Rattus norvegicus: one gene and its partners. The protein of the gene in region 3 purifies or fractionates together with the protein of the main gene of each other region. This does not show direct contact. Links are inferred from orthologs where the notes say so. Each region holds a gene or a part of one and is shown on either strand. Other genes may lie near its edges. The genes, in order: Pgrmc1, Mapk3 and Dusp9.

Region 1 (2,998 bases), about 36 Mb from region 3:
CCTCTCATTCCTCCCCATTTCAAAAAGGAAATGTGCATTAACCCTGGATTCACTTGGTTATAATGGAGCTTGCTAATCCTGACTTCACACCTCTTGGCTACATCTTCAGTCCCTTCCTAGTCCCTTGCCATTCCTTTAATTACTCATAGCTTTTTCCCACACTGGGGAACATGTCTGTCTCCTGCTGTCCTGCCTATGTACTTAACAGACCCCGACCCCTGTCATGGACTAACAGATACTCCAAGTTGCCCCTAAGCACTGCTTCAGCTTTCTATCCCTCCCGGATCCTTGTCTGGTACTAATTTCTCAATTCTGTCTCCTGCTCTGGCTCTCCTTTCATGTGGCCTTCTAGGGTGGCTCCTTTTTTGCAGTCCTCATTTTGGTTCGCACGCTGTCCAGATGCTGCTTCATTAATGGATCTTTCCAGGTTTCTTTGAAGCTGTCCCATATCCTTTTACTTTAATTCTAATGGTCTTACCCAACTCCTCTCTGTGGTTCCTTCATATCTGACTCTGCATACCAGGCCTCCTGGTCACCCTGCTCAACTGCTCTTACTGAATTCTGCCCTACATAGCTGGGTGATAACATTGCTGGAGTGCTATTTTGCTGTGTCATTCTTTCTCTTACAAACTTTCAGTACCTTTGCCACCTATAGGTGAAGTTCAGATTTCTCAGGATGGCTTTTCAGGTCTTTCCTAATATTCCCACACACTGATTAGCCAGACTTACCTCCTACTATTTCCAAATGCCAGTTCTGCTCCTGACAACATGTTCTCACTGTTTCCCAGATATGCCCTGTCTTGTCTGTGTGCCTTTGAATGTGTTCTCATTTTTCTGGAAATACCTTTCACCCAAATTCTGTCCATACATTTCCCAAAGCATATCTTTATTCCATGTATCCCCCCACCCCCAATTCATAGCAAGATCTTACTATAAATACTTCCTACATGGTTACTACTTTGTATTTTTGTCTTTTGAACAAAATTCTTAATTCCATTTTTGGCAAAGAGTATGATATAATAATCCCTTTATATCTATCCAGAAGCCTAAGACATTGCTGAGTATAATGTGTGGACCTCTCATAAATGCTTTAAAATGAAATGTTGTGATTTTTTTTTTGTAAGTCATGAGAATGACCGATTGTCTTTTCCTTTTCCTTTACCTCCAGTCAAGTACCATCACGTGGGAAAACTGCTGAAGGAAGGGGAGGAGCCGACTGTGTACTCGGATGATGAAGAACCAAAAGATGAGGCTGCTCGGAAGAGTGACTGAAGCAGTCAGTGGAGCATATCTATTTTTGTATTTTGCAAAATCATTTGTAACATTCCAGTCTGTCTTTACAACATGGTGATTTCAATATTTAGAGAAGTTTTGAACTTGTAAGTTTTTTAAGTAACATCACTAGTGACACCGATAAAATCAACTCGTCTTAGAATGCATGATGTGTTTGTACGTCACAAATCCAGAAAGTGAACTTCAGTGCTCTAATGCAAATGGTAAAGCTGTTTCTCTTCTATCTGTAGTTAAAACTGAATTACAATTTTATTTTCCTGAGAGGGAAAACTTGGGTTATCCACAAACTGGCCAAAATGGCAAGTGCACACACACACAGTGGCCAAAATGGTCAATGTACTAAGAATGAAGAGAGAAGGTCTTAGCCATGCTATAGTCTGAAAACAAGCCCATTTTACCCAACAGACTTAACTGCATGATTTTTGTTTTATCTACCTCTAAAGCAAAACTGCAGTGTTCCAAAGTCTGTGGTATTGATTCAAAACAGAAGTCCAGTAACAAAATGAAAACTCAATAATGGGTTTAGTTGGGGCAAACACATTGCCTGTGTTCATGGACTGATTTATCATCCCTGTCCCCACGTGGACACTCCCACACACAGTAACTCTCACACACCTGGTAATTGGCAGTTGGAACTACAACAGAATCTGAAAATTCAAGGTAGAACTTTGCAAAAGAAAAATCTGTTGCTTGTAGCAGGGCAATGGTTATGTGGTTATTGGCCAAATGTAAAATTTGAGAGCAATATACAGGACAGGAACAGGTGTGCGCTTTTCAAAAGCTTCCACTGACATCTCTGAAGAATGAGAAAACACTACATGGCACTAGCTGGGTGATTTTGAAAGGAAAATACATTCCTAAGGTAACAGTTAAATCCTTCTGTTGTTACAAAACTCGTAGTCGCTTCAAAAATAGTAGTCAGGTGTCTAGGTCTTGGATAATACTCTTGGTTAATACTAAACCTAGCTTAAGTAGACTCTGCAGTTGTATACATTTGTAAAAGTATTATCTGAACAACTAGTGAGGTTTCAGACTCTTGTAATTGTAGTTAAATAGTCATTGTATTTTCTTGTGAGCTGTGTTTAATGGTTTTACCTCAAATCAGAAAAAAAATGAAGTGCTTGGGTCAGTTAATAAAACGGTTTTGCCCAATATAGAGGCTAACTTGCTTTAATTTTTTTTAAACCTAAGAACTGGGGATGGGAGTAGTGCGGTACCATGGCTGATTCCAGTCATGACATGGCTGGTGCACTCAGGAACACACAGCAAGATGAAGCCAGCCAAACTCCAAGCCCCAACTGAAGAGCAGTTTATAATCCCAACTTGCTGAGGAGCTTTTGGTAGTGGATGGCAGCTACAGTGGGGCTCGTCAGTTTTCTTTGAACGTGGCTGCTAGTATGTTCCTCATGCTCCAGTACCTTGTACCTGTGTGCACATACAGGTAGCAATAATTACATGTAGTGGGGTAGCTTTTTAAAGACTACTGGGGACATGCTGGGAGGGTTCAGGAGAGCCAAAGTTTAGATATGATCATGACACATGGTATATATGTGTAAAATTCGCAGAAGAATAAGTTTAATATTCTTAATCAGATTTTGTCATTTGACTGTAGCTTAAAATGGAGTTTAACTTTTGGGTGTTCGATTACGTTAAAGGCCTGCCTGGGCTATGTAGTGAGAAGGGGAAAGGGAAGGAAATGGGAAGA
Region 2 (3,750 bases), on a different chromosome or scaffold from region 3:
GAACTAGGCAAGCAGTGTCAAGCAAGGGCAACAAGGGCTGGACTACCTTTCCTGGTCAAGGTACAAGGCCGCAGGTAATCAGGGTGGGGCTCTCAGAAGAGTGGGAAGGCTCCAAGAAAGCCAACTGGGGAAGAAGAGGAAGCAACAAACAGGAACAGCTGAATTTAGGCTTTCTTCTATAGGCAGACTCTCAGGGCCCCTCGTCCTTCCTTGAGCCCCTGGCTAGACCAGGAGTGCAAAGGCGTGGCTCCGCCCTGTGAGTCTAGGGTCTTCAGGTTCCTCCTCTTAACAATGCAAGGTGGTGTGAAAGCCTCCACCCTCTCCACGTTGGAGAAAGTATCGCCCCTCCCCCACAGAAGGCCCAGCAAAACACAGAGCCTCAGTTTCCTCATCTTAGAAATGGACGCGGTAAAGCTCATCACACAGGGAAGCTAAAAGGTTGAATTAGAACCAAAGCGCTAGGCATGCCCAATGCTGGTTTTCTTCCTCGCTTTCAATCCAGTGTGAGGTCTCTAAAGAATCGTGAGTCTGTTGAGCAAGAAAGGGCTGTGGGCAGAGACTGGGTCATGTCACAGAACTGCAGATGTCAGAAGACAAAGCTCCCATAGAGATGGTTTGCCCAGCATTCTCCCCTCCCCACACACCATACTGGGGCACAGAGCAGAAAAGGATGTGTTCAAGGCCACTCCACTTGGCTGCAACAGACCAGGATCCAAGGCCTGCCAGGGTGCTCTTCTGCTCCGTAGACTCTCAGCTAAAAAGTTACTTTGCTGGGTTTTTAAGTTTTTTGGTTTTTTTTGGTTTTTTTTTTTTTTTTTTTTTTTGAGGGTGGCACAACAGACGACAACAGAAAGCAAAGCCAAGCTCCTTAGCCTCGCTCTGGAGCTGTGGCTAAAGGATACACATCTCTCATGGCTTCCAGGGTGGGTGCTCTGAGGATGTCTCGGATGCCTATGACATTCTCATGGCGGAATCGCAGCAAGATCTGGATTTCTCTCAGCGTGCGCTGACAGTAGGTTTGATGCTCGAAGGGGCTGATCTTCTTGATAGCCACTCTGGTCTTGCGCACGTGGTCATATGCTGAGCTGAGAGAGCCAGAGAGATGTGTGGCCTTACAAAGGGGGAATCCAGGCCTGGTGGCCCCACCCAGGCCTTGGCAGGGACCGGAGAGAGCAGGAGAGGGTTCTGGCCAAGTGTAAACAATGCTGGCTCCTTCCTGCTGTGAAGGCCTGGAATCTCCAGGGGGAAAGCTGGGGACCAGCCAGGCAGCCTTTCAGTGACTTCACAAACAGAGGAAGAGAGTGGCCACTCACTGACTTCCTTTCTCCTGGACCCTCTTACATTGTAGTTGCCCTCACCCTCCTCCCCTTTCCTGAGCTGGACTCTCTCAATCCAAGACAGGTCCAGGGGATGGGAGTTAAATGGAGAGAGTGGATGAAACCCAGAGGATTCAGTAATGGGACAGGGGAAGAGATAAGAAGGGGTAGGTCTGTCTCCCGGTGAGGTTCCTGGGTCAGAGCTGTTCCCATAGGAACAAAGGCCCAGAGCACAGAGTGGGGCAGCGAGAACTCACAAACCTGTATCCCACAAAATAAGGCACATTCTAGAGACCCCTCCCTACTTTGGGCCTCTGGCAAGGCCAGGGGCAGGGGTGCAAAGGTTTGCCCCACCCTGAGCTTTGCTCTGCTCTCTCAAACTCTGTCACAACCTCATCAGGGGGGAACCAAGGCTCCCACTACCTGCTTATGGGTCTCTCACTCCCCCTTCACCAAGAATAGTCATCCTCTTAGCTCCACCTGTATCTCTAGGGTCCCCCAGGTGCCCCTCCCTTAACAATACAAGGTGGCTTCCAAGCCTCCAACCCCCCTTCCCGGAGAAAGTAGCTCCTGGTCCCCCAGAAGTCACTGCACGATCCCTCCCCTGCGACACTCCCCGGACCCCATGTCCCGGGCACGCACCTGCTGTCCCCGCTCTGAAGCCCCCTCCTGGGACACCCCCTCACCTGACCATGCCGTACGCGCCCTCGCCGATGTACTGCAGCTGCGTGTAGCGTGGGCCCACGTCGAATGGCTGCCCCTTCACCACCTCCACCTCCCCGGGGACCACCGGGACGACCCCAGCAGTTCCCCTGGGCTCCCCGCCCCCGCCCCCCGGAGCCGCCGCCGCCGCCGCCATCTCCACTCCTCCCGCCTCCCCCCGCTGCCCCGCCCGCGGCCCCGCCCCTCCCTGCCGCCCTGTCACCGCGGGGCCGCGCGCCAGGCTCCGCCCCCGCCCCCGCGCGCCCCGCCCCCGCGCCTGCCCGGCGAGCCTGCGCGGGCCCGCGATGTCACGTGGTCTACTGAGAGCGCGCCCGGCTTTCCCGCCTAGTTACGCTGTTCCTTCCTTGCCTTGGCCACTAGGGTACTTTAGTCTGCCTAGAGAGTACTGCAGCCCCAGGGGCCAGTGGCCCTGAGTGATGCTGAGGGAACCCACCCCTAAACTTTGGAGACCTGCCTCTCACTTTTTGTTTCATTTACGCAGACAGTATTAATCCAGGCCAGCCCCAAAGGTTCTATGTGGTGGAGGTTGGCCACATCCTCCTACCTTTAGGCCTGAGCCATCATGCAGATTCTGGATGTTAGGCAAGAATCCTATCACTGAGCCACATTTCCATCTTCTCTCTCTCTTTTTTTTTCTTTTTTTCTCTTCCTTCCTTCGTTTCTTCCTTCCTTCCTTCCTTCCTTCCTTCCTTCCTTCCTTCCTTTCTTTCTTTCTTCCTTTTTCTAAGAGGGTCTCTTGACATGGAACTGGCTGTCCTGGAACCCACTATGTAGACCAGGCTGGCCTCAGCATACTAACTCCCCTGTGCTGGGATTAAAGACTGTATCACAATGCCCAGATTCCATAATTTCTTATTCGTTTATTTGCCACATTTATTAATTTTGTGTGTTGGGGCATGAGTATGTCACAGAGCCTGTGTGGAGATCAGAGGATATCAGATTCCTTCTGCTGTGCAGGTCCTAGGTATCCGACTTGGGCTGTCAGACTTGGTAGGAAGTACCCACGTTTGCTGGGCCCCCCTGTGGTGGTGGTGGGCTTATCCTAAGTGTTATAGTGAGGAAGCAGTCTGAAGGGTGGTGGATGGCAGGCAGCACTAGAAAGCTGTGAAGTCAGGTATGCTCCTGTGAAGAGGCAGGCCTGCAGTGGGCTCAGGTGTGTTCTGAGACCCAGTGTTATTGCCTGGAGGACATGCAACCCAGCCCACTTCATATGAGAAGGAGGGAAAGGGTGATAACTGTGAACAAAGATAACTAAATCAATTAAAATGTACAATCTGTTTCTCTCTCTCTCTCTCTCTCTCTCTTACACACACACAGACACACACACAGACACACACAGACACAGATACACACACACACACACACACACACACACACACACACGTGCGCGTGCCAAACAGCAAAATCAAGACCCTGGATCGAGGCTAGTAAGATGGTTAGGTAAGCAAAGATGTTACCATAAGAATGCTAAAAATTTTTTTTAAAGATTTATTTATTTCATGTATGTGAGTACACTGTAGCTGTCTTCAGACACACCAGAAGAGGGCATCAGATCCCATTACAGTTGGTTGTGAGCCACCATGTGGTTGCTGGGAATTGAACTCAGGACCTCTGGAAGAGCAGTCAGTGCTCTTAACCGCTGAACCATCTCTCCAGCCCCAAACCATTTTTTTTTCTTTTTTTTTTTTTTTCCTTTTTCTTTTTTTCGGAG
Region 3 (3,750 bases):
TGGCTTTCCTTCCCTGCCTGAGCTTCAACCTTTCCCCAAATATTCTTACCCCATCACATTCCTTCCTTCGGGCAGAGTATGCAGTCCTTGAGTTCCTTACCCATTTATCTACGGGGTCTTAACCCTTTGATTATTTTGTGCGAGCTTTATCTTATCTGTTGTGTGTTTTCCTTTAACGCTGTTATTTGCTTTTCTTGGGCTTTTAGCAGAGAAAGGACACATGGCCAAATGGGGCTTTTTTAGAAGCCTCCCCTGCCTCTCCTTTCATTGTCAGCACTTATCACCCCGATATCTGGTCCAGTGCCTTTGCTTATTGTTGGTGTGTCCTGCTGGACTGGAAGACCCAGGCAAGGAGAGCCCTTGTGTGTCTTTCCTGTTCATTACCTGTCTGATGGGCTGGTTGGAGGCCACTAGCCTTTGTGGACTGAATAGTGCTCTGGAATGGGGCAGGGTGGAGACAAGCTGAAGTTTCAGAAACTGGGACACTGACATGTATAGTCATGACCACTGCAAAAGCCAGAAGGAGCATGGGGATAGGGACATATTGCAGTAAAACTACTTCCCTCCACGTGGATCCATCCAGGGGGTTATGGGAAAGATGTTATGGGGAGGCGCCCGCCTTCACCTGATAAGAGCACAGTGTCTCAGTTTAAAGTCGAGTGCTCAGAATTCCTGCGTACCTTTAGCTAGACCTGTACAAATGAAGCCCAGATGGAAATAGCGCACCCGGGAACTGCCTTGTCACTTCAGTTTTTTAGTGGCATCTCACAGTAGAACACTTTAGAAGGCTCCGATTAGCCCATTATACAGATGGGGGCCATCTAGTTCCAGATCAGGATTGTTGAGTTGTTCGAGACAGTTTCTGGTTCTGGGGCTCTGGGCTTTTGTCCCCACCCCTCTTCCTGCTTCCAGGGACCAGACTGGCGCCAAGCAGGGGCAACTGCAACATGTCCCCTGCTGGGCCCCCGACCTGCCCTTGGCCTCTGCCCCGACCCTGTCCCGCCTGGGTGGAAGCCCTAGCTCAGCTTGAGGTTTGCAACTCCCACCAGGCTATTCGTTAGCACTGGTTGGCTCGCCTGCCCCCTGAGACCGCCCCACCGCCCCGCCCCGTCCCGCCCCTTTGAGCTGCTACTTAGTCCGTCCGAAGGCAGAGCCTTCCAAGGTGGAATCTGGATCCGGCAGCCAGGAAGCGGCCAGCGCACGAGTGGCGCGAGGCTTGGCTTCCACGTGCGAGCCTGCTCCACCACCCCGCCCTCTCTGAGCGCCGGAGCCTGGGGACTCCGTCTCCATGAACGATACCTGCGCCCTGCCTTGGCACTAGCTGTGGTGAGGACGTCCGCGTTTGGCCGCCTGCCTCTGGATCTCGCTCCAGGTCTCTCCTTTTGTTCTCTCCTGGGGTGGGTAGGAGTGGGGCCGAGTCAGCTCTTACGGGACGGGACTCGCCGAGGCCCATCACCTCGGTGACCCTCTTGTTCTCTGGGTCTTCCCGGCTAGAGAGGAGAGCCGGGCCTTGAACCCAACTTCTCCACCCATCCAAAATCGAACTTGGGGAGTGATGGAGATCAGAGTAAATGAGAAAGTCAGAAAAGGGGTGTGGAGGGAACTGGTTTTAGTCCTCCTAGCACCTCAGAAAATGCCTTCATTCAAGAGGCCGCTAGACGCCTAGCTATCTTCTGGGGTATATCTCTTGAAACTCCATGTGTTAAGCGGGGCAGGGAACAGCGCCCAAGTGGCGGCAGCCTCGGGTCTTTTTCCCGGGGCGCCTTCCTTGGTGTTCTCACTGTGGGTGGAGCGCGAGGAGAGAAGCAGGCGGTAGAGGAATGTCCCTGCGGGGACACTGAGCGCCTTCCCTCAGGACAGGGGTTGACTTCCCGCCTCAGTAGCCTGGTCCACGCTGCGGGAGTAGAGAAAACTTGCCCTCACCCCGCGCCTTGACTCTCTCCACAGCGCCCGCTGCCCGACGTGCAGGACGCTGCGCGACCATGGAGAGTCTGAGTCGGTCATGCCTGTGGCTGCGTCAGGAGCTGTCGTCCCCGCGCCCACAGCTTCTGATACTGGACTGCCGCAGCCGGGAGCTGTATGAGTCGGCGCGCATCTGCGGGGCGCTGAGCGTGGCCCTGCCCTCGCTGATGCTGCGCCGCCTGCGGAGAGGGAGCATGTTGGTGCGGTCGCTCTTGCCTGGGCCACCGGTGCAGCCTCCGCCACCGGCCCCTGTGATCCTCTATGACCAGGGTAGTGGCCAGTGTCAGCCCGAAGCAACGGAGGCTGAAGCTAAGGCCGAAGCGGAGGCCAAAGCCGAGGCCGAAGCGGAGGCCAAAGCCGAGGCCGAAGCGGAGGCCAAAGCCGAGGCTAAAGAGGAAGCTGAAGAGTGGGATGCTGACTCGGTGCTGGGCATCCTGCTCCAGAAGCTGCGGGAAGAAGGCTACCCAGCATACTACCTACAGGGTAAGTGAGGGTCAGTGGTCTGAGAGAGAGCGCTCTGGAGAGGCCTCAGGTCGGGAGAAAAGGTCCTTCTTTCCAAGGGGAGTTCATAATTAATTTAACCTTCGGCAAACTCAGTCTTATTTTGTCTAAAATATAGGGTAAGGGCCTCCCTCCAATAAGCTGCTGGAGAGCTTTTGGAGGTGGGGAGATGAGCATGACCTTGGGCAAGTCCTTCATCCCTCCAAGCCCATTTATAAATCTGGAAAATGGGGAGAATTGATCTGAAACAACCTGGGTCACAGGCTATTGCCCCGGGACTAAGGGCTGCATTGGGCACTTGCCATGCTGAGCGAGGGTGGATGGGTGTCCATAGCATAGCACGTGTAAGGAATCTGCTGGCTTATGTGTTCCCCTTAGCAATATCTGCAACCCCCAATCCGGGGAGCTGTATAGGCCAGGGATACCTGGCTGCCAGGAAGGCATGTTAGTAAGACCTCACCCTTTTTTCCTGACAGGCGGCTTCAGCAAATTCCAGGCCGAGTGTCCTCACCTGTGTGAAACCAGCTTCAGTGGTCGCGCTGGCTCAGGCCTGGGCTCAATGTCTAGCCCAGTGCCTGTGGTAGGGCTTGGTGGCCTGTGCTTGAGCACTGATTTCTCTGATGCAGAGTCCGAGGCTGACCGAGACACCTTGAGCTGTGGCCTAGATTCTGAGAGCACCACATCCCCTCCAGCTGGGCTGCTACCACCCTTCCCAGCCCAGATCCTGCCCAATCTCTACCTAGGCAGTGCTCGCGATTCAGCCAATTTGGAAAGCCTTGCCAAGCTTGGCATCCGCTATATCCTCAATGTCACCCCTAACCTTCCTAACCTCTTTGAGAAGAATGGTGACTTCCACTACAAGCAGATCCCCATCTCTGATCATTGGAGCCAGAATCTGTCTCAGTTCTTTCCGGAGGCCATTGCATTCATAGGTGAGTCCTCCCTACCCCTCCCCCAGCCCACTCTATCCACCCACCAGACTGATTCCTGGCCACCTCCTCCTTACTCTCTGCATTCCCAGAGCACATGTGACACTTGGGGAGGTGGGGGTAGAGCTCAGGTTAGCTACCAGTGAGACCTCCCAGATATGCTCTAAGCAGGGTGGGGAGACAACGATGATGACCCCAGAAATTCACTTAGCTTTGGCCTCACTCATGGTGACCCTTAGGGGGTGTTTCTGTTCTTTCCTGTTCTACCTAGATGAGGCCTTGTCACAGAACTGTGGGGTGCTCGTCCACTGTCTGGCAGGGGTCAGCCGCTCTGTCACTGTCACCGTGGCCTACCTCA

The links.
Region 1: the proteins of Dusp9 (region 3) and Pgrmc1 purify together in Homo sapiens (affinity purification with mass spectrometry; 3 studies listed by BioGRID). This does not show direct contact. The link is inferred for Rattus norvegicus from reciprocal best matches to the Homo sapiens genes DUSP9 and PGRMC1.
Region 2: the proteins of Dusp9 (region 3) and Mapk3 purify together in Homo sapiens (affinity purification with mass spectrometry; 4 studies listed by BioGRID and IntAct, with this or other methods). This does not show direct contact. The link is inferred for Rattus norvegicus from reciprocal best matches to the Homo sapiens genes DUSP9 and MAPK3.

Annotation. Positions count from the first base shown.
Region 1 is NC_086039.1:120,704,359-120,707,356, forward strand, and holds the end of Pgrmc1 (membrane-associated progesterone receptor component 1), read left to right. Parts: intron 1-1,168; coding exon 1,169-1,272; 3' UTR 1,273-2,447; downstream 2,448-2,998. UniProt on the Homo sapiens protein: Component of a progesterone-binding protein complex. Binds progesterone. Has many reported cellular functions (heme homeostasis, interaction with CYPs). Required for the maintenance of uterine histoarchitecture and normal female reproductive lifespan.
Region 2 is NC_086019.1:190,795,653-190,799,402, reverse strand, and holds the start of Mapk3 (mitogen-activated protein kinase 3), read right to left. Parts: upstream 2,210-3,750; 5' UTR 2,176-2,209; coding exon 2,003-2,175; intron 1,086-2,002; coding exon 903-1,085; intron 1-902.
Region 3 is NC_086039.1:156,502,048-156,505,797, forward strand, and holds the start of Dusp9 (dual specificity protein phosphatase 9), read left to right. Parts: upstream 1-1,189; 5' UTR 1,190-1,372; intron 1,373-1,947; 5' UTR 1,948-1,982; coding exon 1,983-2,445; intron 2,446-2,939; coding exon 2,940-3,395; intron 3,396-3,663; coding exon 3,664-3,750. UniProt on the Homo sapiens protein: Inactivates MAP kinases. Has a specificity for the ERK family.